3 linked regions of the Drosophila melanogaster genome follow. The protein of the gene in region 1 purifies or fractionates together with the protein of each later gene. This does not show direct contact. Each region holds a gene or a part of one and is shown in the gene's direction. Other genes may lie near its edges.

Region 1 (10,395 bases):
TTTGAAATTCCTGCAGCATCACCACCATCCGATTAATCACCGAAATTCGGGTGATCTGAGTAGGAGCACACTGAAATCCAGCGACGAGGTCAACGATGATGAGGATCCGCTCCAGGAGGCCATGGATGAGCAGCTGGCCGTTGCGGGAGCTGCACCAGCACCACCCACAAATCCTGCCCATGCAACGCCAGTGGCTCAAGCAGAAAAGAGGATAGAAGCCCTGCTTGAAGGACTGGGCGAAGCAAACCGAATTAAGGCGGAGAAACGCATTCTGGCCTACCTATGCAAATGCAATCTGCGCGCCCTGAACGACGAGCAAATCGATGATATAGTTATTTAGGAAGATTGCCAAGATGATATAGTTATAAAGGAAGATTGCCATGATGATAAGTTAAATACATACATGCCGTGATAGGATATCAAAAGTAGCAAACATCACTGATCATATAATTGTTTAATAATTAAGTCATTTTTGTTATAGTTTATATATCTGGACAATTATCTTAAGCGAATACTAAATAACTTCTTTTTCCAAATGTATGCTTCCCTAAAAAATATTGTTAATCCATTCATTTAACCTAATCTTCGCATCTAATGAAGTTTACTATACAAACTAACTATTGCATTGTATGATATGATAAAACATTAACACGCCTGTGATTAAATAGTTTATTTTATTTGAGGCTTAAGATTAGCAATTTAAAATTCAAGACAACTGGTAAACCCCAAACAAAGCATCAATTGTCGCCAGAGGTCATTTATAGAGCCAGAGACTTGCGGGAGTGTATAGTAATGCAGTAGGAAGCTATCTGTGTGGCAAAAGCCAACTTTGAACAGGCGGGCGGGGAGCAGGTGGAGTAGGCGAGGGAAAATCGAATTGAGCCACGCCAAAAAACTCCTACTATGACGCAGCTGCTGCTGGGAACTGGTCAAAGAGTCAAAGAATGCGCGCGCAAGCAATAACATGTCCAATATCCATGTCTGGATCGGATCGGGGGAAGGCCTCCAGCACGGGGACAGGGCGACGACGACGCCAAAACAAGCATTTAGTTTATTAATTTGACGACTGCCGCAGGGGGAGCAGTGGGCCGAAACAAAAACATAACGAGCGAGGAGCGTCGTGCACCCTTAACGACTGATGCCACACTACCACTACCCCCTCGTACCGACTGAGTCCCCCTTACTTCACACGTACATGGTGAACCCTCCGACGCACTAAGCCACTATATGAACCAACTACTCCTACGGCCAGCCACCTACCCACTAGACCATTCCCATTCCCAATCCCCGGACTCAGCTCTTGGTATTAACACCGTATTATCGATTGATTTCCAGCACAAGCACACAACAAAAATCAATAGGCTGCCAGAGCCAAAATCAAATATTGTACAGTTCTGTGATTGTTTAGTTCAGTGTTGTCGTAAAAGTTATAAACAATTTGTAGACTCGAATGTATACTTACGCCTTAATAAATGGATTTTCAAAGTACGCGCCCAAAACGTTTAAATGCTACATTTAACTGGAAATTCACCTTGTCTCGCCTCTTGGTTTTTTTATTTGGTTTAAAATCTCTTTAAATCACTGGATGAATTGGATGGAGTCCGTGGATTTTTGGGGGACCGTGCTTGTTCGTTATTTGTTGTCAATTAATAATTTGTTATTGCTCTTCATTGAGAACGCTGGGGAAAACCGTGCGACTTGGACTTTTGAGCTGGGGAAACTGCGCAGCGCGTCGCTTGAGCTTTCGCGTTGGTGGCCACCGAACGAATAAAATCGCAGTCAAAGAAACAGGACCAAAAGGACTCTCCCAGGCGAGAGAGAGAGAGAGAGAGAGAGCGATTGAGATTGACGGGGTGCGAGCCACGGGATGCGACAGTGAGAGAGAGAGAGAGAGGGAGCAGCCCTCGTCCTCACGTGCGCATTGTTATTGTTGTGGTTGGTTCGAAGTTGGATACGAAGCGCGCGTAAAATTGATTTCCTGAGCATATTGATTTTCGGTATCTCACTTGGCCTACACCGCCTCCTCGGCCCCCTGAGTTTCCGCCTGCTCAGTTTCCTGCCCATCCTCGTCGGCCACCTCCTTTACCACCTCCATTTGTTCCTCCTGGGTTCCTACCGCCTTCTTTTCATTGTCCTCCTTAGCCATTGCCTGTTTCTCCAACTGCGTTTGCGATGCTGACGATGTGTCCTGCTTTAAGAGTTCTCGCAAAAACATGGTGGCATAGGCAGCCGTGGGCAGCGAGAACTCCAGCAGGAGTGCCATGTAATTGGCCTCAGCTTCAGCTGGTTCTGGTGCAACCGGAATGTTCTTCAATAGCTCCCAGTCGGAGGCGATAAGTGTATCCTCCGGCGTATTGTACATTCTAAAGCTCCACTTGAGATCACTGGACGATATGATCATCTTGCGGTAGGCGCCAGCCAATGCGTATGTCTTCTCCTTGTGCTTCAGTTGATCCGAGGAAAGACCCACTTCGGCGAGCATTTCCTCGTACCACGCGCCGCACTCGTTGCTGGGATAGGTGATGTCGTGTCCAGGCAGGGGAAGGACCACATCGCAAAGTTTGTACTTGCCGCTAGCGATGTCTTCTGCTGTGAGCGGGCGAACCTTTCGCTTGAAAATCGACTCCTCTTCGATGGCTTCATCCCCTTCGGGGACTTCCAGAGGTTCATCGTTAGGCTCCTCTTCTTTTTGCTCTTCCAAGGCCTCGCCCTGCTGCGCCTGCTCTTCCGAGGCTTCCGACTGATCCTGCTCCACATAAACCAAATCCCCGGGTATCAATTTCAAGCCGAACTCCTTAATTCGTCTAGACGCTATCCTGTTGAAGATCAGGCTTTGGTAAGCATGTGGATATAGCATGAGCATGTTGCGTGGTATCTGCCGCAGAGCTGATGAGTAATCTGATTCACCAAATCTGGCCAAGCCGTCCAGCAGCTTCTTTTCGATGAACTTTTCGCCGTAGATCTGTGCAGCTGCCGCCGCGGAGTCGCGATTTTTCCACCACTCCTCGCGTATGGGACGCAAAAACTCCACATCCGAGTCCCGGGGTTTCAGGATCAGTTCGCAGGCCAGTTTGTAATCGTGCTTGAGCAGAGCAACACCCACCTCATAGGTTGGGACACTGGCGCTGTTGCCGAACCGCTGCAAGCCATAGTAGTTGATGAAGCCGCGTTCCTTCAATGATTGCAGTGCCTGCTCGATTTCTTCTCGCTTCTCCTTGGCAATGTGTCGCAAGGCAATACGAAAACGATTGCCCTGCAAATCGCCTAGCTTCAGTGTATTGGATTCGAATCCAAAGTTGCCGATATGAACATTCCGTTGGGAGCGAGCTGCAACCAAAATGCTCTCTGGTGTACGACGCTTGACGGAGAACTTCTGGGTGGTTTTGGCCCGCTTGTCCTTGATGCCGCTGTAGTTCACCTGCGATGGTCGTAAGCTGTAGAAAAATAATGTTTTCTTAGTATATTAAAGCATTTAAAATTTGATCAAACTTACTTCAGTCGCGCTGCTAAAGTAGAGGCCACATCGCTGGTAACCAAATTGGTTTTGTGCACCAGGAAGGTCACGTAATCCGCCGGAAAGCTCCAGCGTTTGTCACCTATGGAATTCGATGCATAAAAAAAGGAATTCCCTGGGTAATCATTTCTACTAACCGCGTCCTGGCTTTGGTTTAAATACTTTTATAGTCTTCTTCTCCTCTGCCGGCACCTGTGAGTCTTTCTGGGTTGAGGTTTCACCTTCAGCCGCATCCTTATTTTCCAAAGATGCCTCCTCCTGGACCTTCGGCTTAGCCTGCTGCTGTCCAATGGTTGTGGACAGTAGCTTGCCCTTGTAAAGCTGTTTTATCATCTGGTGGACTTGTGTTCGCTGCTCCTTATCCAGAGTGGTCACATCAATCTCCACCTTTTGCTCGATCGCGGGATCGTTTTTGGCCTTAGCCAGATTGGCTATATCCTGCCAAACTTCCGGGCCGATTACTGCCTCCAGTTCTTTCCGCCAGTTGTCCAGTTCGTTTTCGGCCACAGCTGTTATAGTATGAGATGCATGAGCATAAGCAAGTATGCAGGATAATTGGTGAATACAGACCCACAATAGCCACTTTAGGCACACTGAGATCGTTCAGTTCCAGAACCTTTCCATTGCTATCAATCTCGTTCACGTGAAAATCAGAGAAGCGAGACTTAAGTATTCCCGTGAAGCCAGGTGCCTCCGGGTTAGTGAACTCCGTAATGCCCACTTGGGTCTCCAGCAGCGTGGATTTCTGTTGTGGAGCACTTTTGTCCAACGAAAAACGCCGGTTAACAACGATATTATTTATGGGATTTAATTTGTACCTGTTGCGCTGACCGCCACCATTGTTTTGGGGGCGATCCTTCTTCTGACCACGCCAGTTGCTCTTGTTGTATGGCCCGGAATGGTTATTCCTACGTCCTCTGCCCCGATCCTTGCCCATCTTGGTTCAAAATTCGCGTTTGAAAATTTGTCGGCAAATGAAATCCACGTTTTGCACAACATATGATGTGCCCATTCACAATAAGCTTTTTAGGTTTATTAGGGTGGCCGCATGTGCCATTTATTCGGGAAATAGATTTCTTAAATGGTTGTTAGCATAAGTTCATCCGCAAATATTCCTCTTTTTTTATATTGTATGATAAATATAATTTAAAAACATGCTTAATATTAACATATCATAAAACTTTTGTTAGTATATTTTCCTCATTTATACTTCAGTATTTTTTGGTATTTTTCTGGTCCCAGATCAAGTTCACACTGCGTACGTAATGTAAAGAAAATGTGCAATACAAAGAAGCATTGGAAAGAAGTGTAAAAATTGAGAAATAACCAAAAATTGGAACGGATTAATTCATTAGGTTAAGCCAAGGAAGCAACGAAATGTTGCCGCATATAAGTGCCGACGAGGCACAGCCGTCTATGTCGCGAAAGGTGTACATCAATCCGAATTTTCAGCTGCAAGGTCAAACGGCGCATCAGCTGCCGTTCCAAGTGCCCTTCCAGGCGTTCCAGGCGCCACTGCAGCCTCAGCCCGCGATCCATATCAATCCGCACTTTCTGAATCGCCAGCGGGCCATGTACGACCAATACCAGCGGGAGCAGCAGGAGCAGCTTATGATGCAACAAGTTTCCGCCTCGCACTATCGACTGGATCCAACGATACACCTACTGGCGACTCCACCTCCTCCGCCCGCCAAGATCATCAGCAAAGTGAGCACGTGTCTCGTGCGCAAGCCATCAGTGGTGGCAAGTGGTCCGGCGGTGAAGCTCGCTGCTTCAGTACCTGTGCCCACTGTTTCCAGCCTGGTGCAGCCTCCATTGGTAAGCATTTCCAAGCGGAAAATTGTGAGGCAAGGAGCATTGAAAGCAGCGCCAGCGGTTGCTGCCCTCCATCCTCCTCCACCTGCTAAACGCACTAGGTACAAATTAGTGCGTTCCATATCACTTACCTGCACACCGCTGGTCAAAAAGCGTCGTCCTCTACGCGAGTTTGTGGGCCAGTACGCCCTGAGACGCACCAATGAAGCGCAGCCCAACAGAAAACTGAGGTAATGAAAATCGGATACGAGCAGTTGAAAATAGTCAAGCAACAGGCGACTCTGTTAGACAAGGTAATGTACATCAACTAACTTAACTTTTATTACAGCTCCAAGCCGCAGGCGCTGAAGCTGGGCGTTAACAAATCCCTGAGCATGGTCAGCATACACGGTGTGATGTACAAGAAGATATCGAAGAACAAAATAACCAAGCTGGATGCCAGTTCCTCCGCTAGGGTAGCCAAATCGGAGAGTCCCAGGACCTTGCAGCGTACCTTGTCCGGCAGAACGCTCTTCGTCAGCGGCAATAAGTTCATTTTAGATCCTTCCGGCTGCCGCCTGACCAGAGTTTCAACCTCATCAACTGGTGCTACCCAGAGTAGCGTAAATCGTAGCATCCTGAGGCGCATCGATATCGGCGGCCTTACCTACGTTGCTTCGCCAAAGGCACTGAATGTCTTTGTACGCACCAGTAATCACGTGTCGCGAGCCCATTTAATCACCGCCAAACAGAGAAGCCTGACGTTGCTCAACAAATCGTTGGTGAAGACCAATGTGCCTTGTGCCATCTTCCAGAAGCTGGGCAAGTGCGTTGCCCATAGTCGTGGCAAGTGCCGCAAGCTGCACGACAAGCGGCAGGTTGCCATCTGTGTCAGGTTTGTCCTTGGCCAAGCGAAGAGTGCTAAACCTTCGATGGCGTCCAATGTTCGAAATTCGCAATGCGGTTATCTTTTTGAAATCATTTACTTGCAGCTTTCTGCGCGGGGAGTGCACCAAACCCAAATGCCTGCTGTCCCATAATGTCACGCTGGAGAAGATGCCCGTCTGTCGGTACTATTTGCGCGGCGTTTGCGTTCGCGAGGATTGCCCGTACCTACACAAGAAGCTGAGCAGCAAGACCGAGATTTGTATTGACTTTGTGCGCGGCTACTGTCCGTTGGCTGCCGAGGTAAATAGGTCTGCCACTTATTTTCATTGAAAACCTATTAACTCCAAAACATTTTAAGTGCAACAAACGTCACGAGTTTTCCTGTCCCGAGTTGGAGCGCAAGGGCAAGTGCGAATTACCCAGGTGCGTGTTCTGTAAGAAGTCGCCATCAAAGCGATTGGCCAAAGTCAAGTCGCGTCCCAAACTGGGCAGTAAACCTGTCGCCTTCACGGATACCGCGAAAGAATCGTCTACAGCGGATGAGTTGCCCACCAGTTCACGCTACTTTGGGTCCCACAAGGAACCAGCGGAAGCAATATTGACTAGAGATGATGTGGAACAGAAGAAACCTGAAGCGGAGGATGAGGATCAGAAGGAAGCGGGTGCCCCTTGCCCTCGACGACGTCCTCAACTGGGAACTCTACCCTCTTTTATTCCCTTAGGTGGCGAAGAAAAGCTATAAGGCTATGCGAAGGCTATGGACCCAACGTTTCAGGTACAAATTAATTCGGTTAAGTATTGTTTTAACGTTTAGTCTAAGATTTATCTTTAGTAGCTTATTTTCAAGTTTTAATAAAATATTCAAAAAGACAAATTTATTTGCGTAAAATAAATAAAAGATACATTTTATTGGTTGGGTATATATTTGCTACGCTCGAGGAAAATGTAAACATTTGCATTAGTCGTTTTATGTTGTTTATGTATATAAATTATTAAACTAAGATTATTACCAAAATAAATCACAGTTTTTTCGCGGTGTATTCAACCATCTGGCAACATGCCGATCGTGCAGTGTGACCAGGTGGCACCACTTGTTGTTGGATTTTGTGGCGCCACATAGTTGTGTACCTGTTTTTAAGCCGCTCTCTCGATTCGAGTCTCGATTTTCTCGCCACAGTTGAATTTTGCATGCGGCTCGTACAACACCTGAACAACAAACGCGGATTCCGTTTCGAGCAACAACAAAAACAGTGAGTGTGTGTTAGTGCTCGTGCGTGTGTAGCGGTGGCTCTTGCAAATTTATTGCTCACCAGGCCAAAAAGAAAAGCGAAAAGGCTGTGAAGTTACCAAAAATAAAATGCGGACCACAAACATGGGAGATTTGCGGCAAATGGCCTTTGAACTCGTCCACTGGCTTTGACATCTGTTCGCGATCGGGAATTTTCGAAACTCTCTTTCACACAACGTCTCTCATTCGCTTCGTCTTGGTCCAGAAAACCAGGCCAAAACCATTTTCCAACCGAATTTTTGTTCAATTGTGCACTTGTGGCTGTTGGTACATTTTTTCCGATACGTTCTCGCTTTGGTGCATTCCTAACTAAATGCTACTAATAACAAGAGGAGAAAAAAGAGAAAAAAGGAAGGCAATCCGAAGATTGGCCAAAGAGGTGAAAAAAGTTGCTTGACTTGTTTGACCCGCGTTTGTGTTCCAGTGTGTGTGGCTGTGTTGTGTGTGTGTGTGTGTGTGAGTGCGACTTCTCCTTCTGCTTTTTCCTCTTCTTCGGATTCTTGTTGTTGGCCCAGCCGTATTCTACATAAATTACTGACCAAAATGACACCAAAGAGCCATAAAAATGTATTAATAATTTATGCAACCTCCGCTTAGCTGCATAAATATGTAAAATTACATAATGTGCAGCCAAAAGTTGCGATAAATAAGCAAATAACGGTTGCATATATTCGCCATTAATCATTTTGAGTGTAACAATTTTTCGAAAACCGTTCGTTACTCATTAATATTGACCTATTACCAGCTTAATTGTAGGAAAATCGCCATCAAGTTTGCTCTAATTTCGTATAATTACTATTTTATGAGCCACATTTTCACCCATTACATTAATTCAAAATAATTCTGCGGCAGCCTGTGATAAAACAAAGCGAGAAACAATAAAAAAAGGGGAAAAGAGAGTGGAGAACAAAGCATAGATTTCCAGTCTCCAGCCACATTCCATGGTGAGCATGAATCCCCATAAATTCCCAACGAAAGTCTTAACCGAAAATGCTTAAACTTGAAATTTATGTGACAATGGCATTAGGAATTCGAATCTCCAGCACGAAATAATTATATTAGATTTTATTTTCATTTAATAATTTGCATAATTGGGGCCTCGTTTGGAACGCTGTGGGTATCTTGGAATCTTTCTCATCGCGGTGGGTCGTGCAGTCGGACTAACGGTGCCTAGTAGCCGTATAGGGGTTACTTTTTGGTCGGTTTTTACTACAATGACTTTTAACATGCATTGTATCACGATACCACTAAAAATTAATGTTGCTGGCGTTTTTACTTTTGGGGCTACATTGTAGTATGTGCATATATCGAGGGTACACTGTACCTATAAGTACACAGCAACACTTAGTTGCATTGCATAAATAAATGTCTCAAGTGAGCGTGATATAAGATCACCCATTTATGCTTTAAGCTAAGTCAGCATCCCCACGCTGGCCGCTGGCCATATATGCGCATAAGCTCTCTCTCTCTCTCTCTTATACATATATATATACGCTGCTCTTCTGCCGCTGTCGACGGCGGCGCAGTCGCAGTATTTAGGTAAGATCAGACACTCTGTAGAGGTTAAGCGGGCAGAACCGTTTCTGCTACTCGAAGAGATAAGAAGAAATAAAAAGGTGGCCTGACGGCTGCACCCAACTGCAAGGAAAACACGTGTTCTCAATTGGTGGCATATATTGGTTTATTACATGGCGACCGTGAGGCAGGAGCCTGCGATCTGAGGACTACTGAGGAAATGCTGCTAATATTGCCGATTTGATTTGGGAATTCTAAACAGCGACAACAGGTGTGAGAGGCAGGCCGCCCCTTACACCAGTGCGGGAGACCTAGAGACGGGACACTGATGAAAAAAAAAGAAACAAAAATACTGAGTGAGTAGAGTGTGGTAATGGGCAAACGCGGATGTCAGGAAATCAAAAATAAAGGTATAGCACATATTAAGTGGCTATGATATACAAATAAAACACCGCCCCCATGGGCAACGGCACAGAAATTAACTGCCGAATTAGACTTTCTGAAAGAAAACCTCCAGCAAAGAAAGCCGAATACCACAACTCACTCAGCAAAAATAGAAATAATCAATGAAGAAATAACTGAAAATTCAACATCACCCAAGCCGAAAAGACCCGACGTCTGCATGAACGACTGCCCTCGACCATTGTAAGCCGCAACAGCAATTAGCACGGCATCCTGCGAGGGTAGGATTAGGATAAAGGATAAAGGATTCCACCGGCGCGCCGCACATGACAACAGCGAATGTCTACCAAGCAGACGTTCGAACACCCTGCTCCTGTCGAGCAAAGGGATCTGCCAAGTATCAAAGAGGTAATAGAGGTAGATCCGTCCGCGGGACCAAAGCCCTTGACCATACAAGAGTACAAGGCACGGACTGCAGCGAGGGAGCAGCCACCTAAAAAGAAGAGGGGTGGCCGCCGGATTAAGTTGCTCAGCGCCCGGAGGCTCAACATCGAACTACTGAAGACGGCAACTAATGAGGAAGACCGGCAGCGCTACAAAGAGCGCCTTGCAGCCATCAATCAACAACTTCGTGGTGCGAAGTAAAGCGGCGGGCTGCGTTATACGCCATAGCCTCAACCGCCCAAATATTATATTAATGTTGTCGATGCGGTTTCCGCTGCAACAAAATTACTAACTTATCAGGGACCCATTTCATAACTAACACATTATACTCAGTCCTAAACTTAAAATAAGTAATAATATTGTAAAATTGCAAATTGCAACCGATGTAAACTGAGTATAATGAATTCATCTATCAAGTAAAAATATGTTTAACAACAGTTTAGACCTATTAAAATTTCGAGCTATATTTATATCTGATCGAGATAACAATAATTGACCAATTCTCAAAGTTAAAATTCTATTTGTACTTTTGATATACAAATAAAGACTA
Region 2 (10,981 bases), on another chromosome or scaffold:
AATGGATAAATTAAAGCTTTGCCTTGCAGAGAATTTAATTTTTTAAACTCCCCTATGTTATCGATAGCATTTACCAGCTACGCACGACCGATAGCGATAAGACAGTTCTTGTGTACAACGAAAACAAATAGTTCTTATCAATAAAGTTAGGCATTGATCACGGCTCCGAATTAGATCAATGATGTAATTCCACCACGAGGAAGCTCCGATCCGATCCGATTCCACTCCAAAATGAGCCACGGCGACCAGAGTCAAAACCAGAGCAGCCAGCGGAGCCAGGCGCTCACTGGCGGTGGTGACTCCCCGAGGGACAGGGAGAAGGAAAAGAAGGGCTGGTTCCACTCGCTGACCAGGCGCAAGAAGTCCGACTCGGCGCTGGCCGTGACTGCATCCGCCGCCGTCTCCACCAGTGGATCGCAGAACAACAACAACGAAGTGTGCGTCCTTGAGGCAGCGGACTCTTCCATGGCCAGCTGCAGCAATGGGGGCACGGGCACAGGAACTCTGCGCAGAAGGCGGGACAAGGACAAGCGAAACGTGTTTGCCAGACTACGAAGGAAGGTGGGCCAAGGGCTCAGCTCCCTGCGAAACTGGCACTCCATGGGCGACTGCGACGACGGCGGAACTACTGATGCCACCTACGAGTTCCTTACGCCGGCCATCTGTCCGGAACCCACGCTACCATTCACACACGACTACTTGCGCTTTATCCGGAAGAAATGGCTTGAGCGCGAGGACGCCCACTCGCCCAACCAGATCATGTACAAGGCCTGCTCCGAGATGCTCAAGTAAGCGCCGTGTTTCTCCGTCCATCAACGATCGATGACTCATGCCCTTTGTTTGTTTTTAGCCAAGTGTGGTACTGGGGTGAGATCTCCAGGCGCGATTCGCAGCGGCAGTTGAGTGACAAGCCGACTGGGTCGTTTCTAGTCCGCGACTCGGAAACCAGCGGATCCCAATTCACGCTCAGCTTTCGGATTGTGAACGTAACCCTGCATTATCGACTGGAATATCGCGACAATTTTTGGCACTTCGAGGAACTTAAGTACGAGTCCATTGTCGAGATGATCGAAGATATCTTGCACCGCTGCACCAACGACAACTTTGTGTGCTTTGTGAAGGTTCCCAACGAGATGCAGCCACCGTTTCCAGTGATCCTCAAGTACCCGTTGAGCCGGTACTCCAACATGCCCAAGCTGCAGGACTTATGCCGCCGTGTTCTGCAGCGCCAGATGTCTCGCGAACAGCTGGCCCAGTTGCCAGTGCCGGCGCAGATGCTGGAGTACTTGTCGGTGGAGCGGGAGCTGGTCTTCCAGAGTTAGGCAACCGCCGCCCGCCGTCGAGAAGCCGCTGGTCAAAGCTTTAACACTGAAGTAAACGCAAGCGCGTACACCAAAGAGGTCCGGGCGAATGGAATCCCAGCCTGCAGTTGTTCGTAATGATATTTGTTGGTCGGATTGGCAATATGTTGTTGATGCATTTCTACGCCCCAGTAACTAAGCGCACAGTCTCTCTTCACGTGCACGCCGGAATCCCAGTGCACAGAATTTTACTGTATTGTACTGCTAAGTACGGTTAGTACTAGTATCTTGTCTAGGATAATGTATTATGTTATTTGCCATATTTAGTCTATTGGTTTGTTTTATATGGGTCCTGGTCAAGTCTATACTCTGCACCACAGTGTGCAAATCCTTAAGCAAATTTTTAAACATTGAACTACTGCATATATGTATTAACGTAAGTTCTAAGCCAGATGTATCGTACTATTTACGTTGTTTGCATTTTTGTATTCCTAACTTGGACACTAACTTTTTGCTAATCTAGATTGCATGGAATTTAGGCAGCTTTACGGCAATCGAATACGTTCAATGCCAATTACTCTTGTTGCAACGTGTATGTATTTTATTTAAATCTATCTATGAATATTTTACAAGAACAAAATATCAATCAACTCCTTGAGCGATCTTGCAGTCAAAGGAGCTCGCAAATAAAGAAAAAATCACACAAATGTATATGTATATTCAGGAGGGGAGATTTTGCTGTTTAATGTCCTCCTCTTCGCCCTCCAGCTCTACATGGTCATACATGCGATAGGCTTTGAACTGGCCCAGCTTGACACCATCCACGTAAAAGAAGCTGAGAAAACATCTGCGGCACAGGTAGGAGGGATCGTGCAGCTGTCGCCGGGACTGGTTCACGATGAAGCTATAGCTGCGAATGCCGCACATATAGCAAGTCCTGCGATTAAACGTACTGAAGGCGTGAGGATAGGGATACAGGCTGCGATCTGGCCGTTTACTAAGTGGCGTTAGCACCTCTACCTGGGAGATCACAAACAGGTGTTCGCAATTGCCGTGGTGCAGGTAGTGTAGCGGTGATCCGGGGCTGACAGTGAGATCGATGAATCTTTTGCCCTCCATACTCTCCACCTTAAGCGTTTCTCCGTTCACTCCGTTCGCTCTGGCAGCCCACTGCAAGACGGTCTTGGAATAGTCGGGATTGTCCGGATTGCGCTGGTCGTTGTAGAATGTGTCGTTGATGAAGAAGTAACCGGGATTTGTGTCAATGGATGGCAACGGTGCATCTGGATCGTCGCTGATGTCGACAAACCGTTTTCCATTGCAAACGCAGCTGATCTTGTCCCGCAGCTCGGTCAGATAATTGCTGCCCAGACATACGAACTCCTCGGCGAAAACGGGAATCTCCACCTTAAACCCGCGATGGTAGGCCCGCGGTGGTCGATATAGACGCACGGTTAGCTCCAGTTCGCCGCAAGCATCGATGTGCAGGTTAGGCGAGTCTGTCGGCGTCGGATTCAGTTTGTGGCTGTACTGGGTGCGGCCAAAGGGACACTTACGGGACTTGTCCTTGTGCTGGCTTAGAGCAGTAAAAGTGGAGGGCACATGCTGGTTCTCCTGCGGCGGAGAAAAGGTTGGGCGGCATTTGTCTGCGGCGGGCTGGAAGACTGCAATCGAGCTGTCGTCTGGGGACTCGATCAAGTCCAGGGAACAGCTTTCAGACACGTCGACAAGTACTGGGTTTTTTTGGAGAAAGAAGGGCACTTCGTCTGCAGTACCGGATATTTTCTTTTGATAGTCGGCTAGAAAGTCTCGCAGGCTTAAAGCTGGATTCGTTGTAATATAGGTGGTATCCATGGTACTAAGAGGTATGTCTTGAAAGAGTGTTTTTTGTTCAGGATTAGACTCAGTTCTCCACACTCAATGATCTTCTCCAAACTTGTTAATAGCCTCCTTGTAAGTTATATTTAGCTTCAGAGATTCTGGCTTTGGCTCGGTCTGATCGTCCTCTTCAGTCTCAGCCGACTTCTCCACCTCCTGGTGCAAATTGTCCACGTAGACCCTTTCAAAAGATATCACCTTGGTGGATTTGTCCACGTACTGGTACCGCTGGCGACACACTGACTCAAAAAGCGGATCACTTGCCAGATTGTCTTTTTCCTTCTCAAAGAACACGTTGGTTCCCACGGAATGTTCGTAGCGTCCCCGATAAATGCTTCCATTTACCTCGGCCATGGGCGTGTCACTCTCGATTCCGATGATCTTAATGGCCGCGTCCTCGTGCTTCAGCTGGTGCGGATGAATGTGGTTCTTGAAATCCGCAAATACCAGGTACTCTGTGTCCTCGTACTCCGAATCGGAGGAATCGTTCATGTTCTCCTTTTATCGTTATGCATGGGCCCTGATTGATGGTTGAATGATGGCGTTATTTCGCAATATATGACTTCCTTAAACAATAATTTGTCTGATTCCCATTTACAAAACCTTGTTAGAAATGTGCGTGCACATTCCTCTTCTTTCCTTCCTATGGTAAATTTAAAATGGCATTGTGGTGTGAAAATACTATTATTTTTATCATCCAAAGAACTGCTTTCTTAAATACCGGCAGTTATCGATAGGTAAACCCACCACCAAACCATCGAAACTATCGAGGCGAAAACTGTCATCGGTAAAAACGAGGCGAACACAAATCTGTTTCAATTTGTGTCAAAAACTACGTACGTTTTCGTATAGTTGTAAATATTAGTAAATAATAAATAAATAAGCTTATAAATAAATATTTATGCTGACGTGGTGTGGCGCGAAACAAAGTCGAAAAGGGTTTAAAAACGTAGACTTTTGAACGAAAAACAGCAACCCAGCAACCCAGCGTACGTGTGTTTTCACAGGGCAGCCATTTTGGGCGAACTCAACGTCAGCAGAACGAGCTCGTAATTTGTACATTTATTAAACGTAAGTACAGTGTGTTTAATTAAATATCAGTGTAGTAGTGCGAACGCAGTGAAACCTAGACATTTCGGTGTCCGCAGCCTGAATTTATTTACTTATGGCTTGGATTTTCACTGCATTTGCATGATGAACTCTTCATTCGCGCTCTTAATGTTTTACGCTCTTTATGCTCACTTTCGCCGCCCTTTTCTCATTGACAGCTACCATACATACATAGTTACGACAACTGCCGTTTTGAGTACCACGCCGGAAGCTTTTGCGCCAACAAAACCGAGCTTTTGTAGCAGACGTAAACAAACCCAAATCCAAAGCAATGGCCGATGAAGATATCACATTGAACGAGGATCAGCTCCTGGAGTCATTGGAGGAGACGAACGGGGAGCAAGAGACTGAGATCGCCACAGAGGTCGAGGTGAGTTGGGGTTGCCCTTGTAGACAGTGCCCAAGAACCAGTTTCTTGGCCTCACGCCTTGCGAAAGCCCGCCGAATTCCCTGGAAAAGCTCGCAAAGCTTTGGGGGATATACAAAGCCGAAAACCGCAGCAATGGCTGCCATTTTCAGAGCGTCACTTCGCACCGCCACTCCATTCCATTGTCTGCTGTGGTTTCGGGCGTTTGCTCATCGCTCCAAATCAAATACCACTAAATTTCATATTTTCCTCGTCGCCAGGAGGAGGGCAGCATGCAAATCGACCCGGAACTGGAGGCCATAAAGGCTCGAGTCAAGGAGATGGAAGAGGAGGCCGAGAAGATAAAGCAGATGCAGTCGGAGGTGGACAAACAAATGGCCGGTGGGTCTACCACCGGCTTGGCCACAGTCCCGCTTTCTCTTGAGGAGAAGCAGGAAATCGACACGCGGTCCGTCTACGTGGGCAATGTGGACTACGGCGCATCGGCCGAGGAACTGGAGGCCCACTTCCACGGATGCGGCACAATCAACCGAGTAACCATACTCTGCAACAAGGCTGACGGGCACCCCAAGGGATTCGCATACATTGAGTTTGGTTCCAAGGAGTTTGTCGAGACGGCATTGGCCATGAACGAAACCCTCTTCCGAGGGCGTCAAATAAAGGTGAGTATCTGAAGCACTTTTTGCTAGTCCTGCTACCTATCAAACTCTCATGTACATATGTGGATAGAATGAGTCCTAGGGACTCCTACGTAGCGCAATTTTGAAAGCACATATTTAGAGTTGACTTTAGCTTAATCTATTGACTTTCAGGTAATGTCGAAGCGCACAAACCGCCCTGGACTCTCCACCACAAACCGTTTCGCACGCGGCAGCTTCCGGGGTCGAGGAGCCCGTGTCTCCCGGGCGTGCTGTCACTCCACCTTCCGAGGCGCCCGAAGAGCTATGTAAGTGGGCTCTGGAAAATCCCGATTGGATCGAGCTAATCCCGGTCTGTCTTTCGTTCCAGAAGGGGTTACCGTGGTCGCGCCAATTACTACGCTCCTTACTGATTATTGTTTTATTAAAATCCCTAGTAAGGTAAGTTGACAATTTCGAACTGAAAATAATTGATAGTTGAAATTTTATATGTGTGGGTTGCGTCCGATTTATGTCGGTTACATAAAGTAATCCGATATCTATCTCTTATATTTTGATACATTTTTTTTCTTAAAATTTATAAAACCAATGAGGACGTCTTTTTATGTTAAATTTAAGTTGTTAGAAAATGCCGTTTGTTTTTATGGAGCTAAATAGATTTAGTTTGCATAGCTGGTAGATCATTACGGGAAATAAAAACAATCAAATTTATGGTCAAAAACAGAATAATTTTCCGAACCCTTTATGGGAATACCTTGCTCTCATTCGCAGCGTGTTGGGTTTTATTATAATGCTTCCATTCGATTTACCGACTGTCGTCTTTAATCCATTAACTATTTGATTTCAGATTTTTTTACAATATAATTTCAAAAAACATTATTTTATTGCCAAACTTCTTTGCTAAATAAAAAAGAGAAAACAATCGCAACAGAAAACGCCAGAAAAAATATCGTTTCAATAAAAAATGCATCAGCAGCAAGAAAACAGGCGAAAAGAAGAGACCTCGAAAATAATAAAAAATCAACAAGGAAAACGAATATCTTGACTTGGCTATAATGTTTTTTGAAGCACCCAACACCAAACACCCCCTTTTCACACATTTTAATTTTCAATAAAACATCAAAAAAAAAAAAAAGATTATGAAAAACAAGAAGTTGATTTAAAAAACAAAAAAGTATATACAACAATAAGTATATATAAAAGAAGCGCAAAAGAAACCACAAACCCCAAATAAAAGAAGTTAAAAGATGGCAAAAGCAAATAAAGAAGGAAGAAAATATAAAAAAAAAATCAAAAGAACACAAGACTCTTGGGAAAGAAGTAAATCAACAAAATATATAAAAAGTGCGTGTGTAATTTATATATTTAAAAAAAAAATATATAGAGTAAAGAGAAGATAAGAAAAGAAGTTGAATTTACTAAAGCGAAAAAGATGAAGACAAATATAATCGAATTAAATAAGCTATCAATGCCTTTCCTTTGGGCGGGACAAGGTTTTTTGGGATTGAGGATGCGAGTAACAGCTTGATTCCTGCCACCACCAGCAGCCCTACCTCTCTTCCAGCCCTCAGAAATATTGTGAATAATAAAAAGAACATTCTTCATTCAAAAGCACTATTATATGGTTTTATTTCAATCGTAGGATTGCAGAGCCTGAGCGGATTTCAACTCGAAAATGCCGCGTTGCTTGCGTGTTGATTGATCTTTCGCTTCTAGAATTGATGTGGAACTGCGCTGAACTCCTAGTTCTTCTGGACGGCGGCCTGCACGAGGGGCAGGTTCTTGCCAAGGAAACACTTGAAGCCACGGAAGGCCCATTCGTTGGCGGGCGACTTCTGCTCGTTCTTGTCGGCGCACTTCTCGATGTCGGCCTTCAGCGCGGCCTTGTCCTCCTTGCCCTGGCCCAGTTGCGCCACCAGGTTCTCCACCTTGAAGCCCTTGGCCTCATCGAACAGGTCGAATTTGACGAAGATGCACTGGATGTAGTTGCGGGTGATGTCATCGTCGGGATAGTCGAAGGTCTTGTACTTGGCGATCAGGGCCTCGGTCACCTTGCTGCTGGCGGCACACTCCTTGCGCGCGCTCTGCAGATCCTCGGCGGTGCGCAGCTTGTAGTCGGAGGCAGAGGCCTGTCGAGGAGCAAACGGATGAATTTAGATTACTGGCTGCCATCGGCTTCTGTCTCCTTGCAACACTTACCAGACCCAGCAGGGCGCACAGCAGAATAGCAACAGCGTTCTTCATGGTGAATCTTATTTTTTTTGGCTTCTGTGATAGATTGTGTGAGGACTGAATGCTCGCTCGGAGGAAACTGTTGACTGTGGTCTGGGCTGCTCCAGCTTTTATACCTTCGAGCCCCGCTCAATGTGGGTATGTCGCACTCAACTGTGGGGCGATTTTGAGTGTCGCTCAATTGAGTTGCACTCGCCGGCGTAATTTAAATCTCATTATGGAATTTTTTGATAATGTCGAGGTTGTTGAGGAGACGAGAAATTAAGGATTACCTGATATATGAAAATGATATCTAGGATTGAAGAGTTTGCAGGGATACTGGCAATAGAGAAGAGCGGCTATGCCGCTCGGCTTGGTCTTAATGTTAGAATGCAGTATTTGGTTTTTACTACTGTTCAGCAGTAGTAATTTTCTCGATATAATTTTTCTTAGTTTTGTATATACCATTATCATGAAGCAAAAAAATTTTTATTTAAATGGCATTTACTTCTGGTTAAAGAGGATAACAATTATATTGTTTCTTTTTATATGATGAGCTAATTTGATTTTTCTATCCATTACATTAGCATTCCAAGAGAACGCATTACCAAATTTAAATAGAGAACAGGAAGGAAAGATATATATCATTGCACAATTTATATATCAAAACTAAGATTTTATTCCGCATAAAGATCATAGTGAATCAAAATGAACTGTGATTTAATTTCTGCCATTTTCAATTACTTTTCCGACTGTTCGGAATATATATTCGTCGGATTTTTACCAAATTAAAACCAAAATTATATATTGTTTAAAAAATTCCGAAAACCGAACTAAAATACTTTTTGACCAACATTTTTTTCGAATATTCCTAGTGATGCAATGGCCCAAGTCCAATCCGGCCCGTTCCTACTTATATACTACCTGACAAGTATTAGAGAACAAACTTTAATGGTAGTTTCATTTAGATATCTGTAGAACTGAGTTTGCGTAGTAGAACTGGTGGGCATAGCGAAATCCACCTGGCTGCTGATACTGATCATGAATATACGTATATTCTTTATATGCTCGCAAATGTTTCGTCTTTCCGGCCAAAGTCAATATACCTTCTTTTTTTTCTTATTAATAAATATAATTTATACAACAAAGTTTCAAATGGAAATATTATCAGCTGATTCTGATATAAGTTGTGGCATTAGCATAAGCAGAAAAATCGGTTCAGATTCCCATTGCTTGTTAGTATAAAATCCAAAATCAAATCACATAGGTGTGGTCCACGGGATAGAACTATCTTATGCTATATTCGTGATTTTAGGAAATGACATCGATGTAATATAACTTCATTTGGAATTCCTTTGAGTTATCATACTTGCTCGTTCGATTGTTTAAGAATATATAAAACAATTTTATACCAAAACCAAAATCATTATTCATGTCATTAGTTGATGTCTTTATTATTGATTGTATAAATCAGATTTTGGTTTTTTTTTTAGCGACTGGCTTAAATGGAAAATAAAATTCATAGAACTTTGGAACCAAAAGGCATGTTCACATACGCAAAACTGTGCTTTTCGTAATTCCCCCATATGTACATACTAGGAGAGTTGTGCCCCCTAGGAAAAGTAATTGTGGATCTGCCACTGAGTTTGCATGACCGACCGTTTGTGGCCACTTAACTGCCCACTTCGTTGTCCGTGGGCCATTGTACACCAATGTGTATGCTGTAGGCTGGCCGGTCGGCCTGCTCTGCATTAAATGAGCATTAATTGAATTGGCAAAATTACGTTGACAAATGAAATGCCCCCCGCTGCCAACGCACCCGCGGCTCTCGGCTCGGATCATGGAGGTGCCCCAGCCAGATGCGAGAACTTTCCACTGCAACATGAGAAGCCGCCTGGGAATCGAGTGTCGTCCCCAGTCAACTCATAATTCGTATGCCAGACGCCAGGCAGGTGCAGGTGGTTTCCAGACACAAACAGAGAATTGTATATAGACTTGACTTGTTTTGTTTGAATTTGAAGCATTTATTGGTATTGAAACACTATCAGTTAAGTATACATAGGTTTAGAGCACAGTTTTCATAAAAACTTCAAATAAAAACCTCATCACAATTAACTTAATTTAAATGATCACATACGAAAAATAATGAAATCAAAATCACAACTCCTATGCGCCGTCTGGAATATGCATCATCTACGAACCTGCGGGGAGTCTCAAAGGAACATACTTATAGTAGTCACTATTAATAACTGAATTTTGATTACAACTTAAACCACCCATTTAACTAGAAACGATCGAAAGGAAATGATAATGGAACCAAGGCAATCGCGAATCCTGGCTAAGCTTATGCATAATATAGATATTTCATTTTTGGTAAGCACATCTAGAAGGTTTGAAGCTAGGCAAACAATTTGGAAAAGCGCTATATCTGCTATAAATAGAGTGTGTTGCATATCCATATATGTAAATAGGTTTTTAGTACGCAAGCTGGGCTTCTAAGCAGCCAGTTCACTTCTCGGGAATGGGGCGCAGGGTGGCCATGTCCACCTTGGTGCTCGGTGGCACCAGCGCCGTCTCCAGCTCGGGGATCTCCAGGTCGGGGATGGGGTCGCGCCAGTAGTTGAAGTTGGAGAACTCGGCGGAGGCTTCGTCGAGTTTCACCGGCGGGAACAGTTGATCGACGATGTACGTCATGCTGCAGTATCTGGAAAAAAAGGCAAGGTATTAGATCTCAAACGAATCATTTACGACCAACTCCTGTGGCTATGCTATGATCTCCACGATCTGAGCAGCCCGAGGGTATGCAATGCAATTCCTTAGACATTTTCGATCGGGAAAAGGCGCCTCGGGATATACTGCATTTTTTTTAATATGGTAAATTCTTCAAGAATTATATTATTCATACTCACGAATACCTAAATTACCGATGTTCACTCTACGCTAACTACAGTCTACGACCGGATCTAGCTCATAACTCATGCCACACTCCGAGAAATAAAAGAGTTCCGTCACGGCGAAAGTGAAGGTATATTTCATTGGGTAATTTATATGTATAATGGTCATCCTTAGAACTAAACATAAAGACCTGCTGGGAGCAGAATACTTTCGAAACTTAACTGGCCGACGAACTTGGAGCTCGCTGACCTGGCACATCAGGCACAGACATACAGGTATAGCACAATCCTAACTCTCTTAAAAAAAACATCACAATTTGCAAGCTGCACAACCTTCGACTGGGGCTAGGACTGGAGCTAGTCTAGGAATTAATCCACTTGGGAGGCGAAGCCATAATGACTTCGTTTTTGGTGGAGACGCGGCGGACTCGCATTATGAGGCCCACATCGGCGGTCCGTTCGTCGCCGGAGGCCACGACTGCCTGGATGCCATTGTCATCGTTGGCAAAATCATCGTTATAGAGGGCTTCGTCATCGTCCTCATCCCCACTGCTTTCCTCACTCGAACCGTGCTCGACGTCC
Region 3 (10,537 bases), on another chromosome or scaffold:
CTCGCGAGTGCCGTCATACTGGGTGCGCCATTTGTTGTGTTACCGAGTTCGGCCACACTGCGTAAATATCGATATTTTTCATGTTGCCGATAGCTTTTTTAAACCAGATTTGCATTTTACAAACATTTTCTAAACATTAAATAAATATATAAAGAAATTCAAAAATAATTGTAAAATCACAATATTTGGAGTGTTTATTTATTTTCTCCAACCTTAATAGCTCAACAAATTAAACGCTCTCGAAAAGATTATCAAGGTAATTATTATTTACAAGATGCGATAGTTAACTAAGGAATGTCATTTTAAGGTTTCAATTTCTTTTCCAGCACCCGCGTCCACAATCAATGTCAACTGCCCTTTGGTCGGATTCACCCACGCAGCGGGAAACTTCTTGTCCAGATCGACAAACACACTCTAAAAAATATAATAACAACAAAAATAAACCTTACAAATGAAGTTTTTGAATTGTGGTTAAAAATATCAGATTTCTTGCTCATATTCTTTTCCATCTTATCAAGCTAAAGAGACCTCACCTTGACGACACTGGCTTTTGCGGCGCCCGTAACCACGAAGGCGACATTCCGTGCCTTATTGATCAGCGGCAGGGTGAAAGTGATCCGCTCGGGAGGCGGCTTGGGCGAGTTCCGGATGGGGATAACCAGGCGCTTGGTCTCCTGCAGGGTGGCTGGCTGCTCGGGAAAGAGGGAGCAGGTGTGGCCATCGGGTCCCATGCCAAGCAGCAGCAGATCGAAGCGATCGACTTGACTTTTGACCTTCGCCTCGTAATCTGCGGCGCAGGCGTCCAGCGGTTGGCTGGTATCGGCGCGGACGAACTGGGATTCCTGGATGCAGGGCAATTGGGTTAGCCACTCGGCCCTGTAGGCACCATAGGTGGAATCGCTGTCATCCAGGCGAACATACCGCTCGTCACAGAAGAAAAACACCCATTTGGCCGTTTTTAAGTTGCACGATTTCAGGGCTTTCGTTAGCAACTGGACGAGGGAACCACCTGTAAGCGAAACAAGACACTTGACTTTGGGAGCACAAGTTTAAAGATCGCACCTGGCAAGGTCACCCCTCAAGTTTGGCTTATCACAAGCCAACCCACTTGACCTGCATGACCTGTGCGTTGATCCTTACCCGAAAGTCCCACGCTGAACTTATCATGTTTGGCCAGCGCCTCCTGGGAGCAGCGCTGGAGAAGATCGCCCAGGGCCTGGACAAGTTGCTCCTCCGAAGCGGACGGGATTACTTTTAGCGCACCCTTTTTCTCCGACATATTGCTTGATCTGATAATAAAACTCGACTCGACTTCGATTTGTCAGTAATCACCATTCCCTCTCTCAACTATCGATTACCAATTTATGAAATACATTGCACCGTTTGCGACAAAATGAAAGTAAGTAAATCTTATACGAAAACATTTCACTACCTCTATTCGTAAAATAACAACTTATTTGATATTGAGCAAAAAAGGAGTGTGTACGTGTGTGCTACAACTATATAATATTTAAAGTAAGAATGAGGTAACTCTCTTCAAAACAGTCCAATAAAATAATATTGCATTCTAAAGTTTAACTGCAACAAAACAAAAAATAGCCAATAATCTTTAGATTTATCGCGGTTGTTCTGCGCTAGAGTGTCATCACTGATTACGACCTGTGCGATAGTTGGCCCGCCATCATCGATAGACCTGTCAGAAATTAAGAAAACAATATCAACATCAAGCGAATATACTTCGCTCGCTACATATTTCTAGTTAGTTTTCGTAACTTTTTCGCTTTGGTGGCAATTAAATCAAATTTCCTCGAAGAATAACTTGTAAAAAGGTCGCAAACATCCGTCCAGTTTCTGCCAACCATCGGCCACTGGCTATCGAAAGAAGATCGCTAGTGAATTAAATTTCACAAAATTGCGTTGTACTTTGGCCGTGGAAATTTGCCAAAAAACAGCAGCTACTTTGCTGCTATATTAGCAAATAGGTTCAGGAAGTCGAGAAAAATTTTTCCAGAAGTTGGCAGCAGTTTGTGTGAATGCAAAAAATACATCGCACATAGTTTTTTGCCCTCAAGACAGTTTTCTCAGTAATAACAACAGCACCCACACAAACACACAACACCACTCAGCTAAAAACGTGCTGAAATTCGCATATCTTTTTGTTGCATACGTTTTTGAGTGAATATTAGTAAGATGCCCAAACGCGGCGGTGGCAGTAGCCAGCGGTACAACAACAACGTTGGAAATGGCGGCGGACGTTACAACGCTCCCGAGGATTTCGATGATTTTGGTCAGTACACGGGAGTGCAAGAAAATGAACCCTCCAGTAACCTAAATATAATGTATTCCTATAGATGTGGAGGATCGCCAGCGACGCAAGGATCGAAACAAGCGGCGCGTCAGCTTTAAGCCCTCCCAATGTCTACATAACAAAAAGGACATCAAGCTGCGACCCGAAGATTTGCGTCGATGGGACGAGGATGATGACATGAGCGACATGACCACGGCCGTTAAGGTGCCCACCAACCCCACATGTTATCCCTATGCACATTTCTAATCTAATGTATAATTAATTCCAACAGGATAGACCCACCTCCCGACGTCGGGGATCGCCCATTCCGCGCGGCAAGTTCGGCAAACTGATGCCCAACAGCTTTGGCTGGTACCAAGTCACGGTGAGTTTGGACTACCATGTCATATAGATATCATAGCCGCAATGGCCCAGACCAAAATCATGTGATTTAATAGTAGTTTTATTACTAAGCTAAAGAAGCAAAAGCATTCAGTCCTCCAGCACCTGTTAGATTTATAACGTTCGCCATTATACAAATTAATCGACTGTTCTACTGGATGGCTCTTCTTATGCGAAGTACATATATGTTAAATGTAGTTTTAAGTATTTAGATTACTAACGTCACATAAAACTTCCAGAAGTTTGCTCCAGTGCTCTACTAATTTCCCGCCCCTACATAGAACTACAAACCCCAGACTGGTCCATATAGATACCAGATTTACGACAGCAGTCATAGAACTATTTTTGGTCTCCAAGAACATCATGTGATTCGTCTGATGGCTTTTTTTTTTTGTTATTGGCAAAAGATCGCGTTGAGGGAGCAAAGTATCCGGCAAGAATCGCATAAGTTACAGCGAAATGTTGAGACTTATTTGTTTATTTGTACACTGCTTCCAAAGCTCCAATGCCGACTTGCCGACTGGGCTCTTTGTGTTTATTAATTAATTTCCCTCGTAAAAATCGTAAAGCAAACAAGCCAAAGTTGGGCCGGGGGGATACCAGCTCTACACAGCTAACGACAATCGGGTACTACAATTACAATTGCAATCCGACGAGCGGGCAAATAAATATTTATGGATGGCTAAACACAGTCGTCCACAGTACCAGCCACAAGTGTTTGTCGGCACGAGCTAAAAGTGCAATGAAGTCGAGCCTTTGGTGGTTTGACAGTTGCCATGACCCTCACCTAAATGGTTTCCCATTTTAAGGGCTTGCGGGCCTGCGGTTGGGTTATCCTTCGCCTGGTTGTCACCCTATCCAGCCGCACGTGGTGCAACACAACAGGTCGCTATCTCTCGACGGGGTCGTAAATGCCATAGTAAAATGCCCAATGCTGACTCTCCACCAACAAAAGCTTGCGGTTTCATTCCGTTTGGGCCTTTATTTCATCGACGGCCGGCAGACGGTGAAGACGTGTTCCAACGTCCGACGCCCCATAGAATATATCGCTTGAATCTCAAGAGGCCCGATTAGGGGCAACTTATCAGTTTGGAGTGATTAGATGTGCGACTAGGGTTCCGTCGGGAAAATCAGCCTAACACGTGCCCCACTTAAAACCCGGCATCTGCAATGGCTACTTTGGGCGCCTGGGACTACACGATCCTGGCGGTGGTGCTGATCATCTCCGTTGCGATTGGCATCTACTACCGTTTCGTGGGCGGCAAGCAGAGCACCACCACCGAATATCTTCTGGCGGATCGTTCCATGAACGTGGCGCCTGTGGCCTTTAGCCTGATGGCCAGTTTCATGTCGGCCGTCACCATATTGGGCGTATCCATGGAGAACTACCAGTACGGTACAATGTTCGTCGTGATCAATCTGTCGTATGTGTTGTCCACGCCGGTGGCCGCCTACCTCATCATTCCGGTCTTCTATCGCCTAAAGACGGCCAGTGTGTACGAGTATCTGGAACTGCGGTTTGGCTATGCCACCCGATTGGCCGCCTCGCTGAGCTTCTCGCTCCAGATGGTCCTATACATGGGCATTGTGGTCTATGCGCCGGCTCTGGCCCTGGAAGCTGTCACTGGACTGAGCCAGGTCTTCTCCATCGTAATTGTTGGAGTCGTGTGCACGTTCTATGCGACGCTCGGCGGAATGAAGGCCGTACTCATCACGGACATCTATCAGTCGCTCCTCATGTTCGCCGCTGTCTTCAGTGTAATCATCTGTGCCTGGGTGAAGGCGGGCAGCTTGGAGGTGATATGGCGCGTGGCGCAGGAAAACGGACGCATCAATCTGACCAACTTCAGTGTGGATCCAACGGAACGTCACACTTGGTTCACCCAGATTTTAGGCGGATGTGCCACCTATTTGGCCATCTATGGTGTGAATCAAACGCAGGTCCAGCGCCTGATGGCGGTGAAGAGTTTGAGTGCCGCTCGAGCGGCCCTGTGGTGGTGCCTGCCCATTCTGTGCCTGCTTAGTCTGAGCACCTGTTTCTCCGGTCTGTGCATCTACTGGTACTACCGCGACTGTGACCCGCTGCTGGAGGGTAGAGTCAACTCGCGCGATCAAGTGATGCCGCTCTTTGTCGTGGACACGATGGGCGAATACACCGGTTTGGCTGGCCTCTTCGTTTCGGGAATCTTTTGCGCCAGCCTCTCCACGATTAGTTCGATAATCAGCTCGCTGGCAGCCGTCACCCTGGAGGATTACCTCAAGCCCTTGGTCAGCTGCTGTGCCAAACGCACGCTCACCGACCGTCAGACCTTGTGGTACTCCAAGCTGTTGTCCCTATTCTTCGGAGCCCTCTGCATTGGCATGGCCTTCATGGCGGGATCAATTGGCGGACTACTGCAGGCGGCACTGTCAATCTTCGGCATCATTGGAGGCCCTCTGCTGGGCCTCTTCACGCTGGGCATGTATGTGACCAAGGCGAATGAAAAGGGAGCCATTGGTGGGCTGCTCATATCGCTGGCGTTCTGCTTTTGGATCGGTTTCGGACAACCGAAGCCACCGCTGGTCAGCTTGGATATGTCCACGGCTGGATGTCCGGTGGACAGGAGCTTTGCCCGCGACATTTTCCTCAAGACTGTGATAGCGGTGGCCGAGGAAGAGCATTACTTTTACCTGTACAGGATTAGCTACATGTGGTACGCTGCTTTGGGCTTCCTGATAACCTTCTTTGGCGGATGGCTGTTGTCCTGGCTGTTTGCCCTGCTGAAATGGGACAACAATCGACGCATCTACCAGGATGCGGACTGCACGCTAATCAAGCACGATCTCTTCGTGCCGCCGATAGCCAAACGTTTGCAACGGCGACAAATGCCGCTCCTGGTGGTCACCGGCACCAGTTCGGAGATTGGCGGCATCACGACAGAGAGCGCTACGGCGCCGCCGCGGCTGGACGAGATCGAGTGGGAGAAACACAAGGCAGTGGCGTAACTGAACACATCACCTTAGTAGTTTTTTCTTTTGTTTTTTTTTTGTAGCGCCGTTTTGACCTTAGTTACTCTCCATTAGCTATCACTGCAAGAAATAATAACTTTGCTGTACAATAATACGGTTTAGTTTATTTGCATTTCTATACGAGTCTAAAAATGAGGCAAACTATTATTTGAAAGAATTGCTGCTGGAATTACAATGCTCCTTATAATGTTCTAAAGAAAGTCAGGTCGGAGAATATCATATAGTTGCCATAGTATGTATATCTGCATGGGTCATCCCACTTCGTTCTCCGTGGAGCGTACTACTAGCCTTTTTCTCTTGTCACACAAAATATATATATATATATATATGTATATATATATTAAGTGAACTTTGGCTTTAAATAAACGAGCTTACTCATTAAGCAACTAAATTAACGCTCATCGATGGCCTGATTGGGCTGCTCCTCCGGTCCTTTGGCATTGTAAACATTGCGATTCTGGGACAGATGCCATAGGGCTAGCAGGCGGGCCAGCTCCGTGTAGGTTAGCTTGCGCAGATCACGTCGATCGGCCAGCTTAACTCCGGCGGCCTCTAGCTCCTCCACCAATGTGACGGCATCGTATTCATCCTCCGGATTCTGCTCATTGCGTGGCGCAATTTTTCCGACGAACTCCGACTCTGGCACCGCTTCGCTCTTCACCATGCGCTGCATCTGCTGCACATGCTGCTGTTTATGCTGACGTTGCTGACCCAATGGCTCGTCGACATCTTTTAGCTCCTGTTCGGGATTCATGGGCAGCGAATTGGCCAGGCTGACCATGCCGAGGATCACCAGGAAGATGACCGGAATATTGTTGCACCCAATGGGTTTCATGTTTACGTCCGACTGCTAGTAGCTTTGCTGTGGCACTGCTGCCCGCCTGTCGCATGTCGATCGATCGTGGCCTGGACTCGACTCTCGGGGTGCGCTCCAATTTCTATCTGCCTTCCAACCCGCTCGTACGCTCGCTCGGCTCCCTATCGCTCACTCGAACGCCCCGTGTGGCAGTGCTGGCTGGCGAAGACATTCGCTTTCTTCTTCCAGCATTTGGCTATTATTTTTTTTGGTTACTTTCGAATGCCATGGATTTTGGCAAACAATGGTGCCATTAAACTGCAAGTAAGGCGGGGATATAGATTCTTTTACTTCTAAAACTATATAAATTTGTAATAGATGAGCAGTGAGTGTTTTTAAAATGTATATTTTATTGTATGTTATGCAAAAAATGTTCCATTTAATTCAATACGCTGGAAACGAAGCGCAGCACTGTCGTTTGGGGGGCTGCTTTTGATTGAAAAGTCAGTGTGTAGGGTCGGTTAAATTATTTTATCTGCATATGCAGCACATACACTATACTATACACTATACAACATCGACCCCTGGTACATATGTTATTTAATTGTCTGGCTGGTGCCTTTTGTATTTTGTATTTTGTATGTAGTAGATCCCGCATTTCGTCGTTTTTTATTGTGTATTTTTGTTGGCTACGTTTTTTTTTTATTTTTTCTGTCCGCCTCCAATTCAATTTATCTGCGCAGTTTGTGCTCACTCGGTTCGCCGTCTTCTATTTTCTGCATGTTGGTTTGGCCTAATCTTATCAGCTCTTATTCATAGCCAATTGAACGAGTTGTAATGGTCGAGAGTTTTTAATAATTTCTAGTAGATATGGGTTAATGGACGACGCGCCCCGCGTTAATCAGTCGCAATGTTTCCTTGTGTACCGAACCAATCGGTCAGGCAATCTTAGGTCTAAGAACTTTGTTTGATTGGTCAAAATGTGAATGATATTATTCTACATTTACATGTTCATATTTCACACAAACAATTATTGCTCTATTTGCAACAATTCTAATGGAATACAGTTGAAAAGCAACTAGAGATACCTCGTCTAGAGTTTTAAATTCTTATCGGTAATTGGGCTTATTTAATTACTCACTGCTACAATTACTTTGCCTGCCTTCAGGCGTTGCTAAAAGCTTTTTTTTATAAACAAATTGCAATAGCATAGTCTAACTTGTAGTGCATGCCGAATTAGTGTCAACAAAGAAATTATTGTTAAATATATTGCGCTATTATGTGTTGAATTATAACGATTTGACAAATACACGTAACGACGTTCTTGAGTGACAATGGAAATTGAAAAAAAGTCGAGATTGTCAAGTTGCATGTAACGTGCGACGAAGTAAGTATTGATAAATGTAAATTCTAAATGGAAAATCGCAATTGTCAGTCTTATTTGCATTTTCCTAATGGTTTCACATCTGGCATGCGAGCAACCTACATACATATGTATGTGCTATGCTATATATACATACATATGTATATAAAGTGTTTATAAAATAAATGTACGTGCGAATGGAATGGCCAAAACATTCCACTGACTGATCGTTGTTAGCTTTTATTAGACTGCAAACACGTGCGCCAGCCCGCTTTGGTTAGTTAGTCATTTTTGGTTGAGAATGAAAAGAAGAAAAAAAAAAAACCCAGAACTGTCAGCAGCGTTGATAACCGTGTTGTGGGCCAAACACAACTGACTGACTCACTGTATAGGATAGCTCCATAGCCAGCTATGGGAGGTACCCTATCAAGGGCACCCAATAGCAGCAACCAATCCACTTGACTCTCTTTTGTGTGCATCTCCTGATGTCATCGACCAATAATGCGTTGGATCGTTTCCCTTCTTATCGCTAGCCAGTTGAACTGGCAGATTCCGCCGATTCCAACCTGCGCTCCTGCGGATTCCCACCTTGCCAATCTCATATCCCACATTTATACAGTAGATATGGGATGAGCGAATCTCGTTGAGTACTAGTTTCTACTCAGAACTATCACCGATCACAGAACAGTTAAGAACTTCTATTTCTAACTATGATTTCGTTTCTCAATACATATTTTGAAACAAATACAAGTTTGATGCAACAATTGTTAAACATTATTCATAAAAATTGCATTGAACAGCGAATATTATAATCAAAAGCAAAAGCAGCACTTATTTAATGATATTTGTAGATAGTTAAATAGTTATAGATGCATAGCTTTAAGGTTGTTCTATATGAAATTATCCCATTGAATGCAAAAAATGCAAAAGTGATTGATGATTTCCTGAATCGAAGCCACTTTATAAGACTGTATTTGATTTGAATGAAAGCCCGAGTTTGCCTTTTAATTTAAAGCCAAGTGCAATATTTAGCGATTCAACAATTTATTACGATATTGAAATTCAGGCGCATAACAATTAATAATTACTCGTTAACAGCTTAACTTGATTCATATTCATATTCACATTGTTCGTATGTACATTATCTTTTTATTATTTATTCACACACTCACAACAGACTCACGCACACACTCACGCACACATTGGCATTGAAATGGTTTCAAAAAAAAAGGTTTTGGTTCTTTTCACGTCAGTTAATCTGATGGCAGCTAATCCTGCTCCTGCTCCTCGCTGGTGGTGGTCACCGTCTTCTCCTGCCGCGTGGTGCTAGTGGTGGTGCGTGTCAATGTGAAGACACCGGTGGTGCCCACCTCATCCAGCGGCTGGGCAATGATTGTTGATGTGGTGCTCTGGAAACGAGGTGTTAGACATTTGATACTACATATATTATGAGGAGGGTGTCGTACGCCATTCTTGGTCTCCTCGGGACTCCACGAGCGTTTGTCATCCAAATCCTTTGAGCAACAGCCTCCCATTCTTTGGTTTTGTGCGTATATAGAAATACGTATTCGTTGTATATATGGTATAAATGGTTTGGTTCGGAATGCCTTTATTTTTCGTTCTATATTAATGTATATCGGGGGCCAGTAACTTGTTGCTGCTTCATCGGCGCACGTCTGTCAGCGAATGCCGGTGTTCGATGTGGTGTTCACTTGTTAGCCAAACGAACGAACCGAAAGCCCAACCCAACCCAACCCAACCCAAGCTGCGCCGCCAGCTGTGACTGCGACTGCGACGCCGGAGTTGGGTTGTCATAGCTATATAGCTCCATATCAATTCTAGAAATATGTCTCAGCCAGCGAGCCAGCCAGCCAGCCAGTACTCGCATTCGGTGTATATTGTATTGTGTTGAATACAATAAGTATATGTATAGCTCCATGTATGCCTGTGAGCTGTACAAACAAACCATTCACATTCCAAACAACCAACCAGCCAGCCACCCACCTCAATGCCCCCGTTCGAAACTCTATGTTCCCGAGAATGTCAAATCCGATCTGATTCCCGCTTTGAAAACAGTCACAGTCATCATCTTTATTTTCAAATGGGAACCACTGGCCTTGTCGCCTTAACGGTTCCATTTGCCCATCGAGCAGGTGCAGCGTGTCAACTCAAGGCTGCCATTGTTGTCTGTGGCCTATTTGGTGGCACTATTCAAAGTTGCAACGTGACAACTAATGTCAAAATCCTTCCAAGAGGATTGTGTGCTATGATCTTCCTTTGGTTCATTTAAAAAAACCAAATGGGCCATTAACAGCTTAAATTGGGCACCCTTATATAGAGCTTTTAACTAATTAGCAGAATTAGTCCCAAAAAAAATATAAATAAATACCTTTGTAGTTAGGACCAAACTTTATTTAAAGATCCTATGACACATCAACTTTGCGGGGAAATTCAAATACACAATGGTTGTAAATTAATAAAAACACAACAATTTGTCATTTTTGAATGCGATATCACGAGGGGGTTTATGTTGTTCGTATGTTTTAGTCAATGGAAAGTTAGGGTTAACCATATCGAGGCAACCAATAGACGCAAAAGAGCCAAAATATACATATAATCGTATACAGCTAATGCCCGTAATAAATAAATTTATCGCATTAATGCGCAATGAATGAGTGGG

Evidence for each region.
Region 2: the proteins of ZC3H3 (region 1) and Pabp2 purify together in Drosophila melanogaster (affinity purification with western blotting; one study listed by BioGRID). This does not show direct contact.
Region 3: the proteins of ZC3H3 (region 1) and sbr purify together in Drosophila melanogaster (affinity purification with western blotting; 2 studies listed by BioGRID). This does not show direct contact.

What each region holds. Positions count from the first base shown.
Region 1 is NT_037436.4:8,504,141-8,514,535, reverse strand, and holds ZC3H3 (ZC3H3), read left to right. Parts: upstream 1-4,772; 5' UTR 4,773-4,891; coding exon 4,892-5,559; intron 5,560-5,657; coding exon 5,658-6,203; intron 6,204-6,300; coding exon 6,301-6,496; intron 6,497-6,554; coding exon 6,555-6,938; 3' UTR 6,939-7,067; downstream 7,068-10,395. Other genes in the region: CG6683 (uncharacterized protein), read left to right, coding at 1-340; Pus7 (pseudouridine synthase 7), read right to left, coding at 2,012-3,434, 3,494-3,596, 3,652-4,023, 4,085-4,272, 4,333-4,451.
Region 2 is NT_033778.4:8,127,474-8,138,454, forward strand, and holds Pabp2 (Pabp2), read left to right. Parts: upstream 1-3,957; 5' UTR 3,958-4,250; intron 4,251-4,447; 5' UTR 4,448-4,560; coding exon 4,561-4,659; intron 4,660-4,916; coding exon 4,917-5,318; intron 5,319-5,468; coding exon 5,469-5,602; intron 5,603-5,667; coding exon 5,668-5,707; 3' UTR 5,708-5,735; exon of another isoform or gene 5,736-6,004; intron 6,005-6,141; 3' UTR 6,142-6,901; downstream 6,902-10,981. Other genes in the region: Socs44A (suppressor of cytokine signaling at 44A), read left to right, coding at 232-788, 851-1,322; Pbp49 (PSEA-binding protein 49kD), read right to left, coding at 2,022-3,155; CG42516 (uncharacterized protein), read right to left, coding at 3,219-3,671; Obp44a (Odorant-binding protein 44a), read right to left, coding at 7,037-7,423, 7,494-7,538; Lpin (lipin), read right to left, coding at 10,762-10,981. UniProt on the Drosophila melanogaster protein: Involved in the 3'-end formation of mRNA precursors (pre-mRNA) by the addition of a poly(A) tail of 200-250 nt to the upstream cleavage product.
Region 3 is NC_004354.4:10,838,242-10,848,778, reverse strand, and holds the start of sbr (small bristles), read left to right. Parts: upstream 1-1,686; 5' UTR 1,687-2,190; coding exon 2,191-2,287; intron 2,288-2,351; coding exon 2,352-2,512; intron 2,513-2,579; coding exon 2,580-2,672; intron 2,673-3,697; exon of another isoform or gene 3,698-3,859; coding exon of another isoform or gene 3,860-5,674; exon of another isoform or gene 5,675-6,089; coding exon of another isoform or gene 6,090-6,533; exon of another isoform or gene 6,534-6,574; intron 6,575-8,883; exon of another isoform or gene 8,884-9,125; coding exon of another isoform or gene 9,126-9,266; intron 9,267-9,323; coding exon of another isoform or gene 9,324-9,392; exon of another isoform or gene 9,393-9,549; intron 9,550-10,537. Other genes in the region: Pgls (6-phosphogluconolactonase), read right to left, coding at 298-414, 534-1,009, 1,141-1,279; CG32669 (uncharacterized protein), read left to right, coding at 3,860-5,674; CG15209 (uncharacterized protein), read right to left, coding at 6,090-6,533; CG15210 (uncharacterized protein), read right to left, coding at 9,126-9,266, 9,324-9,392. UniProt on the Drosophila melanogaster protein: Mediates the export of the majority of mRNAs from the nucleus to the cytoplasm. In ovarian follicle cells, plays a role in transposable element silencing regulation by enabling the nuclear export of flamenco (flam) transcripts and subsequent piRNA biogenesis.